Rattus norvegicus: one gene and its partner. The protein of the gene in region 1 binds, or shares a complex with, the protein of each later gene. Links are inferred from orthologs where the notes say so. Each region holds a gene or a part of one and is shown in the gene's direction. Other genes may lie near its edges. The genes, in order: Dlat and Pdk3.

Evidence for each region.
Region 2: the proteins of Dlat (region 1) and Pdk3 are in contact, whole or in part, in a crystal structure (PDB 1Y8N), measured with the Homo sapiens proteins. The link is inferred for Rattus norvegicus from reciprocal best matches to the Homo sapiens genes DLAT and PDK3. Residues at the interface, in NP_001922.2 of Homo sapiens: Ala225, Leu226, Ser227, Pro228, Thr229, Glu248, Gly249, Lys259, Ala260, Ile262, Glu265; in NP_005382.1 of Homo sapiens: Arg21, Phe22, Ser23, Pro24, Ser25, Pro26, Leu27, Phe48, Lys51, Val55, Asn373, Lys374, Ser375, Arg378.

Annotation. Positions count from the first base shown.
Region 1 is NC_086026.1:59,896,975-59,903,784, reverse strand, and holds the start of Dlat (dihydrolipoyllysine-residue acetyltransferase component of pyruvate dehydrogenase complex, mitochondrial), read left to right. Parts: upstream 1-2,966; 5' UTR 2,967-2,976; coding exon 2,977-3,228; intron 3,229-3,643; coding exon 3,644-3,745; intron 3,746-4,122; coding exon 4,123-4,247; intron 4,248-4,391; coding exon 4,392-4,542; intron 4,543-6,810.
Region 2 is NC_086039.1:62,544,029-62,550,846, reverse strand, and holds the start of Pdk3 (pyruvate dehydrogenase kinase, isozyme 3), read left to right. Parts: upstream 1-3,475; 5' UTR 3,476-3,668; coding exon 3,669-3,774; intron 3,775-6,818. UniProt on the Homo sapiens protein: Inhibits pyruvate dehydrogenase activity by phosphorylation of the E1 subunit PDHA1, and thereby regulates glucose metabolism and aerobic respiration. Can also phosphorylate PDHA2.

The DNA of each region.
Region 1 (6,810 bases):
TTTTGAGACAGCATCTTACTATGTTATCTAAATCTATCTATCTATCTATCTATCTATCTATCTATCTATCTATCTATCTATCTACTTCTTTTCCAGATTATTAATCATTTCCCTTCAGCCTCGGCAGTAGCTGGAACCATAAGCATGGACTGCCATCCCAGCCCAGAAATGAATACGGGGTTCACAGATCAATTTAAAGGCTGTGCTGCCTCTCCCAAATTCAAGCTGGCTTCGTTTATCACTTAATGTTACCAATTTAAATGCTTGACATATTTAACTTTTAGCTCCGAGTGCTTTCTTTCACTTGGTTTCTGATTACGTATTTCCAACTTTGCTGTATTTGAGACAGGGTCTCACCATGTAGACCTGGCTGGCTGGCTGGCTGGCTGGCTGGTCTGGAACTCTGTAACAGAGATCCACCTGCTCTTTCAAGGGCGAGCAATTTTAACATTTTTTTTTTTTTTTAAGATAGAGTACTTGTGGGGTTGGGGATTTAGCTCAGTGGTAGAGTGCTTGCCTAGCAAGTGCAAGGCCCTGGGTTTGGTCCCCAGCTCCGAAAAAAAGAAAAGAAAAGAAAAAAAAAAGATAGAGTACTTGTAGGTAGTCTAGGCTAGCCTAAAACTGGCCCCCTGGTGCTGGAACAACAGATCAACAGTCATATACACCATACTGGCTATCAGTTTTAACTTTTTTTTTCTTCCAGTTTCTTCTTGTGTTCTTGGTGTTCTCTGACCATCTGTACACTGAGAAGTTGGTATAAATACAGCACATGCTTCCTCCTAATTTAATATCACTTTCAGTTCAGAAATGATAAGGCTTTCAAATTATATAGACCATACAATGGATACATATTTCATAAATGTTGCACATAAATCATTACTGATAACTGAAAAGTCAGGCACACTTACTACTATGCTAATTCAGAAGACAATGAGAAACACATAGGATCCTGATCTGCCTTACAGATTAGTAAAAGAAAAACCTTATTTATATGATGTTCGTGCCACATCAGATGGTCTTTACCCCTCTTCTTCTTCCCTTTCTCCTTCCCATTAATCCCGTTTGTTTCGTTTCTATGTCCTTGGCAGACATATATGATTTTGAACAAAAGTCTAGGATCACAAATGAGAGAAAATAATTTTTGTGAATGTCAAACTCCATTATTAATGACTGAAAAAAATTACAATGTGTATATACCCATTTTAGTTAGATATTCTTTTAGTATGGACACATAGTTTAGGTTTATAAATGAGATATCGTGTGTTAACTGTGCTGCAAGTTTAAAAAAACAACTTAAATATATGATATTGCAATACATAAAGTTGACAAATATTTTGATTTATAGTTGTTAATATTGAGGCTGCTGCCTCACCTAAATCTGTAACATGAGCTGGCAAGATAGCTCAGTGTTGGGCTGGAGAGATGGCTCAGAGTTTGAGTGTGTTAGCATATATACAGAAAATCATGTCAATTTTTAAAAAAATAGGTAACAAAATGTGGACATTTACTGGAAAACTTTGTCCTAATATCAAACCAAAATTCATTGATTGATTTTTCGATGAAATTCAAGTAAGCCACAGCAATTTTAAGATTCAAATACTCTTAACTATTCAACCTAAAGATTATACTGCTACAATGTTTATATATAATAACTGTGGGAAATGTCTGCTTTCTGCAATTAAAACCATTATGTTCACGTGAGAGCAGAAAACTTTGTACAGTAAAACCAGTGCGAATCACACCATGCTTGGTGAATCTGTGCCAAGGTGTTTCAAGCGGTGTTGGCTGGCCTTGTGTGACACCGAGGGCAAGGCAGTGCAAAGGTGTCCTCAGAGCCACAGTTGCAGTGACTCGGTGGAATTCAGTGTAGGCAGCCTTATCTAGAAACAACCTAGGTTGGTGTGATTCAGTTCAGACGCTTAAGGTGCCATTTTTTCTTTTGACTTTACATTGTTACTCCATAGTTTAAGAAAGGTTTTTGATGTTTTCCCATTGAGTTCACAGAACTGCAGAATAGCAGGACAATGGCTTTTGCAAAGTTGTATCTTAAACCTTTCTTTTAAAAAAGAATCTCTGTAGCCCACGCTGGCCTGGCAACTAACTATATAGACCAGACTGGCCTGGAACTTAGGGATCCACCTGCCTCAGCCACCGGAATGCTATAATTAAAGGAATGTGCCACCTTGTCTGCTGTATGTCTTAAATATTTTCGCTATTTAAGAGGATACAGTGGTCATCTGGGGGTAATAAAACAATTTTTACAAACAAGTATCTTTATATTGGGACTATAATTAGTCCTCTGAGACTAACTCGAAATGTGAAAAAGGTACCTTTCTCTTGGCTGCCCTTAATATCATTTGACTGAAAACCCTGCTGCTCCCGTTTCAGGGGGGCTAAGGACCTACGACAGCCTGCGCTGGGCGGGCTCTGCAGTCAAGGGACACCCTCTAATCCCCGGAGGTCACTCGAGGGCCTTTCCTTTCTCCAACTTTTGGAGGTGCGCCCGCACCCACTGACCTAAAGCTTTGGATTACTGTCCGTCCAGACTCCTTTCCCCAGCTTTTTCTTAAAGCAAAGACGGTCATTCCTTTTGGCACCGCCTCCCTGACCGCAGGCTGTAGCCGGTCCGACTCTCGGTCCCTTAGGCCACCACCTTAGAGCTGGCCGTACTTCCCAACCTCTGCGACACCTCTCTTAGGGCCTTTCCCGTTTCTACCAAACGTGCACTGCCCCCGCACTGCCTGGAAACGCCTTCGTCACCGTAGATCCGAGCTGCCGCCTCGGGTCCCTCCCGGCTGTCTCTGACCAGTTCCCCGGCAGACCCACGCCGACGCCCTGCGTTCCGCCCGCCAGTCCAAGCAGCCGCTTTTACGACACTGCGCGACCGCAGTGCGCGGCTGACGGCAGAGCCGCGCTGCTCTTGGAGAGGTCACTCCGGAGACGGCGGAGCCTTTGGGGCGTGGGGTCGGTGGCAGTATGTGGCGCGTCTGTGCGCGGAGGGTGCAGAGTGCTGTTCCCAGGGCCGGGTTCAGGGCTCGGTGGGCAACTTTGAAGGGCCCGCGGACCGGCCCCGCCGCAGTTCGTTGCGGCAGTGGGATACCCAGCTATGGGGTCCGCTCGTTGTGCGGCTGGAGCTACGGCTCTGCCACCGTCCCACGTAACCGCATACTGCAACAACTCCTGGGGTCGCCCAGCCGCCGCTCTTATAGCCTCCCTCCGCACCAGAAGGTGAGTGATCCACCCCGGAGCCTGTTGTCCTTCAGAGCCCGCTTCTTGGCGCGGGGAATCCTCCTTGAGAGGCCTCCGTCAGCCAACTCCCTTTCAGATCTATTATGGTCCCTTGCCCAAGACCTTCCGAGTGGGGATCTCTTCTGTTGAAAGAAGAGCTTTAAGCCTGGGGATATAAGCAAAAGGTCTATGAAGTCTCACGTGCTTCTCAGATTCACCAGACTGACTGGAGGATCAACCTGCCATTGAAAGTCATGAAATTTCTGGGGTGCTAGAACTCCCTTTGTATCAACAGTGACCAATTTGTAATGGGACTCAGTAAATATTTTCCATGGAATTGGGTGGGATGAAACTAAAGCACACTAAAGAGAGTTGAGTATCCCTGTTTAAATGTATGCTTCTTTTTCTCTTGCAGGTTCCACTACCTTCACTTTCCCCTACAATGCAGGCAGGCACCATAGCCCGCTGGGAAAAAAAAGAAGGGGAAAAAATCAGTGAGGGTGATCTAATTGCAGAGGTAAGTTTTAAAATATGCAGATGATTCTAAGGGAGTGGCTTTGTCAATAGACTGAGGCTTAGCCTTCTGGTAGGTAGTTACTTCTTTCTCTTTAAGAAGCTGCTCCCCTCCCCTCTTCCCAGTTATTAGAGATGATTGGTCAGCTAAGTTGTCAGCAGCTAGCTAAAGTGACTGTTTGAGACAAGGTTTCACCATGTAACTCTGGCTGGCCTGCCATGCCTGCTGAATGCTAGCAATGCCTGGCCTCTACCCAAAATGTTTTAAAACCATTCTTTCAAGTCTGTGGTAGTGGGTTTATCTTGGTGTGGATTTCTAGACACGTTCTAATTAACTGCATGTTGGCAGTACAAACCTAAGCCAGTGCCTTGTGCTAACAGGTTGAAACTGATAAAGCCACTGTTGGATTTGAGAGCTTGGAGGAGTGCTATATGGCAAAGATCCTTGTTCCTGAGGGGACCAGAGATGTTCCAGTAGGATCTATCATTTGTATCACAGTTGAAAAGTGAGTTGGAAAAAAAACCTTGTAATTTGTGCTTTTAAAACGTTTTAACTCAATTCGGAAGTTAAAGACATTTGAGGACTTGCTGGGAGGTTAGGGATTGAATTTGCTTCATAAATTCTATATTTATGTATTCTTTTTCTTCAGGCCTCAGGATATTGAGGCCTTTAAAAATTATACATTGGATTCAGCAACAGCTGCCACACAGGCAGCCCCAGCCCCAGCTGCAGCTCCAGCTGCTGCCCCAGCTGCACCTTCTGCAAGTGCTCCAGGTAGCTCCTATCCCGTTCACATGCAGGTAAGACTCAGCTTCTGAGTGCCGGCTCCTGATGACTGCTTCTTTATATTCTTTATGGGTGGTGATTGCATCCTGAAAACTTGTTATATGTAAGTGCCCGTCACTGGCAGTCCACAGAGATTTAACTGTGAAGCTTGACAGCTTGTACTCTCGTTGTTTCCAAGTGTGTGAGCTTGGACAGTTTCTTTAACCTTTCTCAGCCTTAGCTCAGGATACAGGATCATGCTTGGTTTTTCTCATTTGCAAACAATGTTAAAGGTTTTGCAAATGTTTTTTTTTTTTTCCTATACAAGTAGAATTTAAGTAGAGAAGAGGTGCTCTCTGTTGAATGAAAGTCCCCAGATATTTTCCTTTGGTTTAGAGTGGGCTACTTCTTTTTTTTTTTTTTTTTTTTTTCTTTTTTCTTTTTTTTTTTCGGAGCTGGGGACTGAACCCAGGGCCTTGCACTTGCTATGCAAGCGCTCTACCACTGAGCTAAATCCCCAACCCTAGAGTGGGCTACTTCTAAGCATAGATGAAGTATTTCAGTAATACTCATTAATGAGAAAATAACAAGAAAAAATAAGTATGAAGAGACGGCTCAATGGTCAGAGCACTGGCCGCTCTTTCAGAGGACTCAGGTTTGATTCCCAGCAGCCACATGGCAGCTTACTTTTGTCTGTAAGTCTAGTTCCAGGGGATCTAGCACCCTCACAAAGACATACATACAGGCAAAACACCTATGCATGTAAAATAAAAATAAATCATTTAAAAAGAACAAGCAGTATCGAATACGTCTACAGGATGACATTGTAACAATGCTAGTGTCCATAGATGTGATTATCATGAACCTAATATCGTCTAGGAAACTAAGTCATGGTTTTGTTAAGTAGATTTTCCTTCATTTACATAATCTAATTACAGTTTCCTACCTCCCAGATCTTCTCCATTTCCCTAACCTATCCAAACCTGTACCTTTTCCTTCTCTTTTATATTAGAATCTAAAAACGAGAAAAACAATAATAAAATAAAAATAAACTAGAATAGAACCAAACAAATGGAAAAAAGAGCCAAAGAAGAAAAATGTCTACAGACGACAAAGCACATGCACTAAATCACATTATTAGATATTAGAACTTTCCTCTGTGTGTCTGTGTGGTCTTCTGGGGACCGAACCCAGGGCCTTGCGTTTGCTAGGCAAGCGCTCTACCACTGAGCTAAATCCCCAACCCCCTGTGTGGTCTTGATGTGGGAAGTAAAATGTACAGGATTAAGATTTGACCTTTCGGGCTGGAGAGATGGCTCAGTGGTTAAGAGCACTGACTGCTCTTCCACAGGTCCTGAGTTCAAATCCCAGCAACCACATGGTGGCTCACAACCATCTGTAATGAGAGCTGATGTCCTCTTCTGGTGTGTCTGAATAAATAAATAAATTAAAAAAAAAAAAAGATTTGACCTTTCCTTAACCCTATGAGAAGTTTTCTGGGTGAATCAGTTTCTCTCTGGAAATCATGCTCCATTTCTATTGCTAACAATCCCTTATGATGGCATTTTTCTTGGTCTTTAGCTTTCATGGTTATTTCTTTCAGTTCAGCAACCTTATTTTATTGCATAAGACCTCGTTTCTCCATTTTATCCTACTTTGTGTTGAAGTGTTAGAATTGGGCCCTAAGAATCCTTTGAGATGGTAAAGATACATAAATGAGTATATTTCTCCCCACCCCCCCACAGACACATACACACATATACACATACATACACACTCACACACATATACACACTCATACACACAGACTCACACACAGACTCACACACATACTCACACAGACTCACACATACACACACACATACACACTCACACACACACTTATACTTTCACTTACTCACTGGTGATTATGCAACAAAGAAAAGAAACTATGAACCGAAAATAATTTTTAAAGAATTTCTAAGTCTTGCAGGCGTGGTGGTTCACACCTTTAATCCCAGCACTCAAGCAGAAGCCAAACAAACAAAAAACAAACCAAACAAAAACAAACAAAAAACCAGAAAAGAATTTTCTGTCTTGTTTTATTTTTTTCCCCCACTTCTAGAAACAATTTTGACTGAAATGATTTTTTTCCTTACTATAAGGCTATTCCTATTTAAAAGACAAAGAAGATAGCAGATAACTGACAGCCACCCAAATTTAGTGGACACAATTATATAAATAGGAATGCAAGTAAAAACGTATATGTATCAGCTGGCCATGGTAGTACAGGCCTTTAATTCCAGCACACTGGAAGCAGAGGC
Region 2 (6,818 bases), on another chromosome or scaffold:
ATCATTGTATAGCACAGTGTTAGGAAGGTTACTTGGAAGTATTGTTTACTAGGAAATTGTGTAGCAGGGACAATGGACAGACTTCTAAGACAGAGAAGGCTTCTGTTCATGTTTAAGTGTTTAAATTGCAATCTGAGGCATTAGGTAGAAGAGATGTGGAGTTAGAGTAGATAGTGTTTCATACATCAGAATCTTGGAAGGCTTGCATATGAGTTAACTTTTTTTGCATCATCCATCATTACCAGCTTAGAAGCTGGAAATAATGAGCATTTATGGCAACAAACTCTGAGGATTTGGGAGTGTTAAGAGTCCAAACATAATCTCCCTTGGCTAAGTGGTTTGTCTTTCAGAAATTACAGGGAGGCTTGAATCGAGGCCTCAGGCCAAAGCCATGTTGCCTCTAGTTTATAAGGTGGGAGGATCTGCTTCTAAGCTTTAAGGGTGAGGAGAAAAAGGAGTAGTGGGAAGAGGAAAAACCAGAGAGGGAGAAGGAGAAGGAGGAAAAGTGGGAAGGAGATGGGAGAAGGAAAAGAAGGTGTGGGGAAAGGGTGTTGGTACATTTGGTCCAAAGTCCAAAATAACTTAGTTTTTAAACCTAATATTTTTTTCTGCCCCAGAATCCCATCTAGGAGAGTACGTTATATTAAGTTGTTATATCTTTTCAGGTTTCTCTATGCTGTGTAAGCCTCTCTGGTTTTCCTGGCTTTTAATGGCCTTGATAGTTTGGGGGATTCTGCTCAGGTTATTTCGAGAGACATAGTAGCTTTCTAAACTAACCTCTGAATGTAATTTCATCACTTGTGACCATAATCTATTTGTTAGAAGCCAATGCTAAAGCTAACCCACATTCAGCAGGAGGGGAATTAAGCTGTAGCTTTTGAAGACAGGACTATAAAAGAATTTGTGGTCAAGTCCTTGAGTCCTAACTACAAAGAGTTGGTTTTAGTAAGACTGTAGTACAATCCAAGAGTTTGCATTTCTAACAAGCTTCCAGGTACTGCTTCTCTGAATGGGCTAGAGATTTATCTTAGGGTTCTATTTCTGTGAAGAGACACCATGACCAATGCAACTCTTATAAAGGAAAACATTTCACTGGGGATGGCTTATAGTTTCAGAGGTTTAGTAAATTGTCATCATGGCAGGAAGCATGGCAGTATGCAAACAGACATGGTGCCAGAGGAGCCAAGAGTTCTACATGTGGATCCACAGGCAGCAGGAAAAGACAGTGAGCTACTGAGCCTGGCTTGGCCATCTGAATCCTCCAAGCCTACCCCTAGTAACACACTTCCTCCAACAAGACCACACCTCCTAATAGTGTCACTCTTTGTGAGCCTTAAGGAGACCATTTTCATTCGGAACACCACAAGAATTCAAGAAGCACAAAGAGGCCTGTGTAAAACCTTATGTGCATAACAAGCTGGAAAAACTTTGAGATTTAAGCTCAAGAGATCCAATAATAACTACTACTGAAATCAACTGACTTTAATTTCTAGATTAATCATTATCACGTACAGAATAGGACCAGATGTGCCTTATATTTATATTAGATATATTTATTTTATTTAATTGCCACAAATAAAGGAAGAGAAGTCATACATCTCCAGCTGACATTAAAATAACTGGGACACAGGATGCTACTAGACTAGTCTTAGGTCATACAGCTTGCTAATGATAGGGTCAAGTTTAGAGCTGGGTCATTTAGCTGTGGACCAGCACAAGTTTCCATTATACAGGCTTCTTTCATATTTCCTCAACTCTTAGAACTGTGCCAATTTTCAGGCAAGCATAAAATTAAGCATAATCATTTTAAGGAATTAAAACATCAGAATAAAATAATTTAAAGTAGCAGTTTGTGCAGCAGAAAAGGAAATTATGAAAAAGTTGATGGGTGAGTTCAGAAGGTTCAGCAGTACTGTGTCACATAGGTGGAAAAACCTCTCTCCCCACCAACACACAACTTTTCCCTTCTCAGTGATCTTCATCCAGAACTGCTATTAGTAAAACTCCACCTGTTGGCAGCACCCAAGAAAGTGAGTAGACAACCATAGGCCACTCCTTGTCTGCCCGAGCACTCCCAACTGCAGTCAGTGTTCTGCTCTGTTGGTAAATCTGCCCTTTACAGAGGTTGTTGCTAAGTCTCTTAAGGCTTTGCTTCGAATGGAAAAGGCAAAGTAGTCCACATATCATATGTTGTACTTAAAAATCTGAATTTTTATCTCTGAATGCACGTGCTTTTTTTCCCTTTAAATTCAACGAGTAGAAGTGCAACAATTTTATAAAGCAAAAAGTGAGTACATAACCAAATGAAGACATGAAACTTTCCACTAATAATCAGACCAAGGAGAATTCTTACCTTTTTTCTAGTTGATGTTTACACAGTAACAAAAATTAATGTTTCCTAGTAATGGTGAAAAGCAAGCAGTAGTTCATATATCCACATTAGCAAATGCTGATTTCATATACTGAGCCATGAATTTAAGCTTACTGTCATGCAAAGAAAATCTAGCACAATGTAAACATAGACTCCTGCACCAAAGTGGTAGTAGTGGTGAAACTGAGTCAGGGTTCTGTGACGGTGAGGGGTTGTGAAAGAGACTGGTCAGTGGCTCTAATTTGAGCCTTTCCAATGGATGTTATGTATGTTTGGGCAATGAAATAATTGTGATTAATCCCAACAAACTGGGAGCAAGGGGATCTAGGAAGCATGGAAATCAAGTGTTAATGACCTTCATTTGTAATGGATTCCTTCAAAGGTGGTAGTGGTGAAAGAAGCATCAAAAAGTGATCTAAAGATGCTGTTCTTGGCCCAGTTGGTAGCTAAGGAGTGTAAGGCCAGGAACCGCACCCAGTGACGTAACAATCCTGTTTTGTAACAATCCTGTCCAAAGGTATTCACCAGAGCGAAGGTGGGCAGTCAGTGAGCAGAGGCCCTGTGGCCAGGTTAATTGATGATACACTGAATCCTGTCGTGTGGCCGGGGTGGGGGGGTGGGGGGGGTAGGAGGGCCAGTAGCTTTCATTTAATTCTGTAATTAATTGTTGGAGAGGATGAAACAAACCGTGCAGTTAAGAAAAAGCATAGGACTGCAAGGAACAACTTAAAGCTGAGGACTCAGCAGATCTGAGGAGGGCCTTCCGGAAGAGGGGCCTAGGGTTGGGAAGGTCTAGAACAGTCCTAACGATATCTCAGGCGTGGGCTCCCAGTGTACTTCAAGTCTCGGAGCACTTCTCAAGACCTGACCCGGGGCGGGACCGGCAGCAACTAGCTGGCTGGTGGCAGGCTGAGACCCACGAGCGAGGGCGGGAGGTTTGTGCGTGTTACCGGGGCTTTAAGGAAGCTTTGGCGGCGGAGGCAGCCAATCAGCAGCACGCGCGTGCAGCCGCGTACCCCTAGCGCCCCTCACATCCCACGCGCGCCGCGTACGTGCGGCGGCAGATCCCGCCTTTTCTAGGCGGGGCTTGAGAACCCGCGGGCAGCCGGCCACGGGCGCCTAACTGCTGCCCGGTGCTTGGGTAGGTGCCGCGGCGGCGACCGGCTACTGGCGCCAAGGCCGAGCCCCAGGTAGAGGTAAAGCCCCGCCGGCGCCGCCTCCTCCTTGTGTCTTGGCGGCGGCGGCCTCTGCTCCAGTCCGGGACGGCTTGGCGGATCTGCACACTCCACCAGTAAGGATGCGGCTCTTCTACCGGCTGCTCAAGCAGCCGGTCCCCAAGCAGATCGAGCGCTACTCCCGCTTCTCTCCGTCGCCGCTCTCTATCAAACAGTTCCTGGACTTCGGTAAGTGTGACTCCTTGGAGCCACCTCCAAGGCCCAGGGGAGTGAGGGAGCCGCCATCCTTGTCCTGCCTGCAGCTGAGGCTCTTCAGCTTCAGGGCAAAGTCCGTGAGAACCTTCGGTGATGGGGAAGCATGCTGAGAGCCCTCCTGGGGCTTAGGTTTCGGGTTTAGGGAGGTGGAGAGGCAGGGCCTGACACCCCCCATGCCCAGCTTCGTCCAACGACCCTCATCCCTGTCAGAACTCCCCAGCTATTCATTATGAGCACTCAAACCGCACTCTCCTTAAAACTTCAGAAAGAGAACTCATAAACGTTTTTGTTTTTAGATGTTTCTAATGGTTGTGTAAGACGTGTTTAGAAACACCTTGAGATTGAGTAAATCACGTAGTGGCGTTTTGTTCCTTTTCTGCTGTAAGGTGTTGGGTAGCCTTGAGTGGCACGACCTGAATGCCTTCATTATGATTAGGACTTCAAAGCAATCATAGTCTTGGGCTGCAAATGCCTTACATGCTGGGTAAGAGCTGACCGGTGGGCTCCTGGCTACAAAGCAGGGGTTCTAGGACAACTCCAGCCTAAGTGTGAGCACCTTTCCTTGATGTCCCATGCACCCTGTTGGCAGCTGGGCTAGTCCTTCATTTTTCATGGATCAGGGTGGGAAGGGAGAGGACCCCAATAAAGCCTGAGGCCTACTTGGATGGAAGTAGATTCTGCCACCTTCCTTTAACTGATCAATCATGTTTCCCCAGAGGATGTCATTCCAACTCCAGCAGGCCGAATGCAGTTGTGAAACACCTGAAATAAAACAAAAATGGAACTCGGCATCCCCAAAGGAAACTCAAGATGACTTAGGCTCTCAAAACCTAGATCTGTTGAAGTCATTTGACTTAAATGTCATGGGATGGTGTCAGTTGGATATAAAAATGCAAAATAGGTAGAACTTTCTGGGAAGATCAGATATACAAAATGTGATGTTGTCTATATTTGGGGGAGAAACAAACGGGATGGAAAGAGGTATAGGTTAGAGGTTTAAGCTGATGTCCACTTAAGTTTTAGAAGCCGGTTGCCAAAGAGAGATGATGAAAATCTAAGATGAGGGAGAAGTTTTTGGCCTTTGCATCTTAAGTTTCAGTTTCAAAAGCATTTCAGTAGTTGGGCTCTACTCCCTCTGGCAATTGATGTATTTATTCTTAAACATTTTATCTATGCATGAATTTGTGTGGCTACACATGTATCATGGTGTGTAGAAGTCAGAGGACAACTTGTGGGAATTGGGTCTCTCCTCCTGGCCTGCTTTCCTATCTTAGGGCTAGAGATTACTGTGAACATAGGAACTTTTTGTTAGGGTAAACAGACAAATTCTCAGTTAAAAGAACAAAGGAAACTTTGCTCACCCCCACCCTCAAAGTTTGTGAAAGTTTGACTAGTATGCCTAAAATTTCAGTTACCTTGCTTCTATGGCAGTGTCTCCCGTGTCAGTAGGCCAGGGTGTTATTTGAATAGGAAAACTACTGGAAGGTTATTGTCATGGTGGTAATCTATGTGGTGAGTATCTAGAAACAAATGTTCACTATTTTAAAGCATTGAGATCAGTGGTTTGGGGGCAGGGCCTCATGCCCTGAATTTCTGCTATTAGTAGTATATGCATGGAGTGTAGGGCACTGGTATTTTTAGAAGACCCCAGGGTCATTCTGGAGCATCATCAGGATTAAAAAACCATTAAGTAGGTATACTTCTGGCTAATCTGCTGCCTCCCTTTTTTTGGCGTAGAGTATTTAAGCCCTTAAAAAATAAGAGTTTCTTGAATCATCTTCACTGGAATTTCAGTCTGCAAGAATAATAAGTATTCTAAGTGGAGTATCAGTTTACAAAGATACTACTGTAGTGGAGTATCAGTTTACAAAGATACTACTGTAGTACCATTCCCGAGGGCAAGATTCAAAAAACAACAACATAAAAACTGCCAGCTCAAGACGGCAGTTACATGGTTCCAAATTCAAAAGATGCAAAAGGACCTAGGTAGAAAATGCCTGTTTCCTACTTCTGTTGACTAGTCTCTTTGCATAAGTTGCACCACATAGTTTTATTTGTATCTTGCTTTTTAAGCGTACTATGAAAGAACTTACTTTATATGTACTTGTAAACTTTTCCTTTTTCTGACTGCTCAGAGTTCATATGGATGTAGTGTAATTAGACGTCTCACAAGTGACAGCTAGTGGGATGTTTGTAGACTTTGCTATGACACAGTACTGCAGTGAAGTATTTCGTACACTGTAATTTCACGCATGTCTGGGTGTGGATAGAAGACAAATTCCTAAAGGTGACCTTGCTCCATCAAGGAGAATGCACATTTGTAATTTTGAGAATTGTTAACAAATTCCTTTCCATAGGAGGTATGTACTTACCCACCCATTGGAAGTTTCTGAGACAGAGTGCCTGCTTTTCTGTACTTTTGCTACATGGTTGTCAGTCACACTTTTGATACATGAAGTCATGTTTACACAGAAATGTGGTTTTTTTTTCTTCAAGTAAGCTTTATCTTGGCCTTTTATTTTGGAAAATTGTATAACAGTGGAAGGGATAGTTTGATGACTCTTGGGTCATTATACTAAAAGCCCTGTGCTGTTTGAAGACAGTTGCATATGCAGGCTGTTAGGCTTGGTTTTCTTTGTGTGAAAGTTAGGCTTGTTTCAGAAAGACACTTTTCTCTGCATTAACACTGATTTATTCTTTTGAGTTGACTGTTCTTTAAAGATTTGGTATAACACTCATAAGAAACCTTCCACAAGTTTCTGTATTCTATGGTCTTGGTCTGTGTAGATTTTCTGTGTCATCTGGAGCCCATTTGGATATATTTTTTTCTACAAAGTCCTGATTTTCATTGATTTGTGTGTGTGTATGTGTGTGTGTGTGTGTGTGTGTGTGTGTGTGTGTGTGTGTGTGAAGTTTGGATAGATTCCCATCTCCCCCATCTCTTTTTCCATTTAGGCACTCACTTTTTATTTTGTGCTTAAAAGAATTTGCTTGTCTTTTGACTAGTTTGTTCTGTA